Linked DNA regions of Nothobranchius furzeri. The protein of the gene in region 2 interacts with the protein of the main gene of each other region in a biochemical or structural test. Links are inferred from orthologs where the notes say so. Each region holds a gene or a part of one and is shown on either strand. Other genes may lie near its edges.

What was found.
Region 1: of the proteins of mcm7 (region 2) and cdc7, one has a biochemical effect on the other in vitro, tested with the Homo sapiens proteins (2 studies listed by BioGRID). The link is inferred for Nothobranchius furzeri from reciprocal best matches to the Homo sapiens genes MCM7 and CDC7.

What each region holds. Positions count from the first base shown.
Region 1 is NC_091751.1:71,613,118-71,616,039, forward strand, and holds the end of cdc7 (cell division cycle 7-related protein kinase), read left to right. Parts: intron 1-1,283; coding exon 1,284-1,681; 3' UTR 1,682-2,350; downstream 2,351-2,922. Other genes in the region: glmna (glomulin, FKBP associated protein a), read right to left, coding at 2,443-2,532, 2,597-2,667, 2,734-2,866. UniProt on the Homo sapiens protein: Kinase involved in initiation of DNA replication. Phosphorylates critical substrates that regulate the G1/S phase transition and initiation of DNA replication, such as MCM proteins and CLASPIN.
Region 2 is NC_091741.1:79,979,059-79,981,464, forward strand, and holds the end of mcm7 (DNA replication licensing factor MCM7), read left to right. Parts: intron 1-654; coding exon 655-764; intron 765-1,127; coding exon 1,128-1,353; 3' UTR 1,354-1,887; downstream 1,888-2,406. Other genes in the region: and3 (actinodin3), read left to right, coding at 2,077-2,159. UniProt on the Homo sapiens protein: Acts as a component of the MCM2-7 complex (MCM complex) which is the replicative helicase essential for 'once per cell cycle' DNA replication initiation and elongation in eukaryotic cells.

The DNA of each region.
Region 1 (2,922 bases), on a different chromosome or scaffold from region 2:
GATTGGGCGTAAAGCTACCCTGAAATGTATGAATTGCCTCCTATCGCCAGGAGATTGCACGCTGCCACTTTAACATGGGAGTCGGTGAGGGTTTCCCTTAGCCTGGCAGGCCAGACTAAATAAATGTATTATGTAGTCTGGCCACGCTCCACTGACGGCTCTCGGTTGTGGGGCGGGTTCTACTGTTGTCTTTCAAATGATCTCTGCATGCCACTGGACAATGATTGTGACATACTCACCGCAACAGCTATCGGTAAATGAGGCGGTCCGCAGTTGAAGAAGGGGAAAACACATCATTTTTTCTAAAAAAGCTCTTAAATACATCTATCTGCTCCTGATTCTGATGAAGCCAGAGTTCTAATAGTCCAACATGGATGTAAAAGCCGTTTCAAACGAGCTGTCGCCATCTTGTTTCCCTCTGTTGCATCATCCCACCCACCAGGCATATAGAGTGCCCTGATTGGCCCACAAAGCAGATAAAGCTCTGTCATTTGTTCACTAAGCAGATAGAGCACTATGATTGGCCCACCATTATGGACCAATCACAGCTCTTTGTGTTTGAAACCCCTCTAGAGAGCTGTGATTGGCCAGCCAGAATGCTGTTGGGGCTGCAGAGGTTCCAGTGGAGCGTTCCTAGACCAGTTTGGTCTAGTTCGCTAGGCTAAGTTTGCCCTGCTTTAGATCCAGCCCCTTGTGGATGAGTGTGGAACTGCAACTTTGTCACTTCTGTGTTGGCTTCATAGATTAAAATAAGCGATTTCCCGTTGTTCCGAACACACCGCTCGAGTAACGAAGCGGTGGCGTAAGCATTTCAGGGTCCTGGAGTGGCCTAGCCAGTCTCCAGATCTCAGCTCCACAGGAAATCTTTACTGGGAGTTGGGCCCAGCGACAGACCCAAACATCACTGCTCTAGAGGAGATCTGCATGGAGGAATGGGCCAAAATACCAGCAACAGTGTGTGGAGACTCAGAGAACGTTTAACCCATGTCATCGCCAACAAAGGGTGTACAACGGCGTACTGAAATGGACTTTTGTTCCTCACCAAATACTTTTTTCCAACATAATTTGCAAATAATTTCTTTAAAATCAGACGATGTTATTTCCTGGATGCTTTTTCTCATGTTGTCTCTCATAGTTGAGGTATAGCCATGATGAAAGTTCATCTTCATCAGAGGGAGAACGCGTAGCTGGAGGCTTTGCCCCACTGTAGTCTCTGAATACAAACCTAGCATGGTGTTGTTGGGGTTCAGGATCCAGATCCATGTTGGAACTTGTTGTTTCAGGGAAGGCGGTGGTGTGCAGTCGGGAGCTTCCTCGTCAGGACCTCAGAGCCCTGTGTGAGATGCTTAGAGGCAGGAGGTCAACGCTAGAGGGTGATGATGATGATGTCACCCCAGCTGCAGAGGTCAACGTGGGTCAGAGTTGGCGTCAGACTGGAGATGGGACTCCTGCCTCTCAAGCCGCTGACCGGACACGCAAAGATGGATCAGGAGAACAATCAACCTGCAGTAAAACAGCTGGTCCCACAACACGGCCCAGCGACGAGGAAGGAGACCAGCGGGGCTGGGACAACGTTCCTGATGAGGCCTACGACCTCCTGGATCAGCTGCTGGACCTGAACCCTTCAACCAGAATCACAGCCGCTGCTGCGCTGCAGCACCCGCTTTTCAAGGACCTGTGAGACCAGAACGAGCTCCAGGAGCTGCTCCGTAACCTCGTTCACCATGAACTTCCTTCAGTCCTTCACAATACGCCTCAAACACATCAGACGTGTGAAGCCGATCATTTAGTTTACTATAACGGTCGTTCCCCGGCGAAAGTCCTGGTGCCGTCTAGAGATTTGGGATTGAGAGGAATCACAAATGAAGCCGTCATGCCTGGGCGAGTGGTGACCTTTTGGTTCAGACCTCCTCTGGGAAGGACTTCGGACTTCCTGGACGTTCAGGCTGCAGCAGAAGTTTGACCAGAATAAACTAAAAGCTTCTGATGCTTTTAGGTATGTGAGACCGTTTTAGACTCTTATTGTGAAGGATTGGAGGAAGTTCTTTAATGTCCTGATGAAGAAGTCAGTTCTGGGTGTGTTTTACTGAGCGGGCCACACCAGAACCAGTCAGCTAACGAAAGGCTCAGTGGCCCGGACAGACCAGCGCAGAGGTCTACGTGAAGTAGCTCCTTGATGTCTGAAAGCAGGAAGTTACTCAACAGCTGATGGACGAGGTTCTAAAGGTGTGAAAGGACTTTTATTTTGAAGGGGGACTGAGTTTTAACAGTGAGAACCGGATGAAATGTCCACGTTGTGTAAAAGACCACATCAGAATGTTTGTTTGGTGGTAATAAAGTTGTGATTTGAGTCAGATGTTTATTTTATATCACAGGAGGCAACATTTCTCATCATAAACCTGAAAAGTACGCAGCGCCACAAGCTGCAGGTCCTCTGGTGGTCTACACGCCGTCCTTCACCTCGGTGAGCTCCTCGACGCGCACCAACACACTCTCAATCATGTCGAAGGTGTGGAGGGCAGAGTGCAGCGCCTGAAAGAAGCCGTTTTCACTAACATCACCGTGACTGCTCGTGTCTGAGGAGGAAAACACCGACCTGAATCTGAGAGTCCGGCGTCATGCGGGGAAGCTTCTCCTCTCCGACAGAGACCGACAGAACCGAGCGGTCTGTGAAAAACAAACGGTGTCACAAGATGTCTGGGCTAAAAGCCCCGCTCTGGAGTCTGGCCTGACCTTTGGCCTTCTTCTTGCCCTCCCGGGTATCCTGAAGCTCCCTCTCATAGTGGGCTCTGGACATGTTCAGCCCCACGCGTAGAGGTTTCATGAAGGTGTCTTCTATCTTATACAGCTCAGTCCAGATGCCCGTCTGAGGGAGGACAAAGTGGTTTAGAGAGGAGGAGGACAGGTGTGTGGGGCGTTTCC
Region 2 (2,406 bases):
GTGTGAGCACTTGCTTCCCACGCTGAACCGACTCTTCAGGCTGACTGAACCTAACGGGGGGGGGGGGGGGGGGTGTCTCTGCCTCTGGTTGTCAAAAGTGCTGTTTGTGCAGGTAGCAGTCATCCACCTACTGCAAAACCAGCACTTCAGGTAAACAAGCAGGCAATGTGCTGCACACCACCGTCCACAAGGGGGCACTCTCAGCAGCAGGGATGTCGCACGATCACAGCTGCTCTTCAGTTTAGTATTCATGTTCTGTTTGATACAAAGAAATGTACAAGTGGGATTGATTGTTTCTAATCCTGGTCAGCTTTGCAGGGTGGGCAGTCAGCCTGTGTGCATTAGGACCAGCTGTGCAAACCCATGCAAAACTGACTATGACGAGAACTGTCAACACAAGCTTCTACATGTAGAGTAGATTGAAAAGACTCATTCATCTCGTGTGGTTTAGTTTTTAACCTGTGGAGAGACTAGCTGGTTTTGAGAGGCGGAGACTTGAGCAATTGCCGGCCATTCCAGAGGGCATTGCACTTGTCTCGGTCTGACAGTGCCGGCACATCGCAGCCTACCTTCTTACATGACTCCAGTCGGATATTTGTGTGTGTTTATGTACAACTGCCATCATCACCACACTTTGTCCATGCCTGCCATCAGGCCCGGCTTCGCATGATGGACACTGTGGAGAAGGAGGATGTGAACGAGGCTATGCGGCTGATGGAGATGTCGAAGGACTCGCTGCAGGCTGACAAATCCAGCACCACCAGGTTAGTGTGTGTGTGTGTGTGTGTGTGTGTGGGGGGGGGGTCATCTAGGCACCCTGAGCCTAACACGAGGGAACCGGATGTTAAACCCAGAATTCCCTTTTATGGGTTTCTTGTGTTTGCTGAATATGCAGTAGCTGCTCTGCAGGAAGCTGTAAAACATGACTGGTGTTTTATAGAGCTTGGTTCACACGGCAGCATGTTCACTTTGGTCATTAGTTGGTGCTTCAAGCAGCAGGCCTTCCATGCACAAAACTCTTCTGTTTTTTTTTATTTGGAAAACAAACTTTTCTTGGCAGTTTGGTTCCTAATGCCTCTAATCAGCGTCTGATTGGTTTGTCCTGATTCTGACCTCCTCCCTTGCAGGGCGCAGCGTCCAGCTGATGTCATCTTCTCTCTGGTGCGGGAGCTCGCCACTGAGGGCACGATCGGCCGTGGCGGGGCAGGCGGTGTGGTTCGCATGTCTGAAGCTGAGCAGCGTTGCATCTCTCGTGGCTTCACGCCCGCTCAGTTCCAGGAGGCTCTGGAGGAGTATGAGGAGTTAAATGTGTGGCAGATCAACCAGGCCCGCAGCCGCATCACCTTCGTATGAACACACCTGGACACGCTTCGCCCCAGCCATCGACTAGAGCTCTCTTTATTTCTGCATCATGTCTTTTGTAACCCAAGTTGGGCAGAACGCAGACTTCCTCTCAATACCTGGACATGATGAAAAATCCTGTTCCTGACTGGTTTCCTGTTAATTAATGGATTTCTTGTAAATATTTGTCAGAGCACATCATTGTGTAACCCTCCCACTGTCCTAATGGGTGTGAGGTCCACGTGGCAGGGGTGAGGACTGAGCACCACCTCACCCCTGCCACATGGACCCAAGGGATAAACCATCAACCCTGCTTAATGGTCAACTTTCTTCGCGGGGTCACACCCATTAGGACAGTGGGAAGGTTAATCTGCAGTTCAGTGGGGTAAAGCATCAGTTTATCAGTGAGAGTTCTTGTACATTGTGTTTGTAATGAGATGTTGATGTTGAACCTTGTATTAGTTATAATAAATGCTTCAGTAATAAACATCACTGTCAGTTTGGCTCCTGGTGTCATGAGAAGTTGTAATAAAAATGAACTTGTCATCTGTTGTATAATTGCTTTATATAAGTTATTGATCACTACTGTTTGTCAATCACACTTATCATGAGGATGTAATCAAGGGTAATCATGGTGGAGGTGTGCAGCTTTGCACGCACATCAGGGAATGTATAAGGAGCAGAGCAGAGCTCAGGGGGTTAGAGCTGCTTGAAGGATTCTACCTGACGAGGTTCATGGATTACATGTGTTCAGTTCTTCACCTATCATGGATTACGTTTTCTAACTGGGGTGTTCAGCTCTCCACCCATAAGCAACGGTAAGAGAAATGTTTCGTTCATGATTGATAACTTGTATGAATGCCGGTTAAATAAAGCCTTGTTGTTCATCTGATATTCAAGTTGTGTTTCATTGTTTCTGGCGTCGACTTGACAACGATCCTGATTAAATAAATATAAAGTGTAAAAAGAGACTTTGAGTCTTTTAAGGTAATTAAAATAAAATAAAACATTTTATTTTAGGACAGAAGTGTCTGAACATCTGGTTTGGTGGTGCTGCAGCTCGGT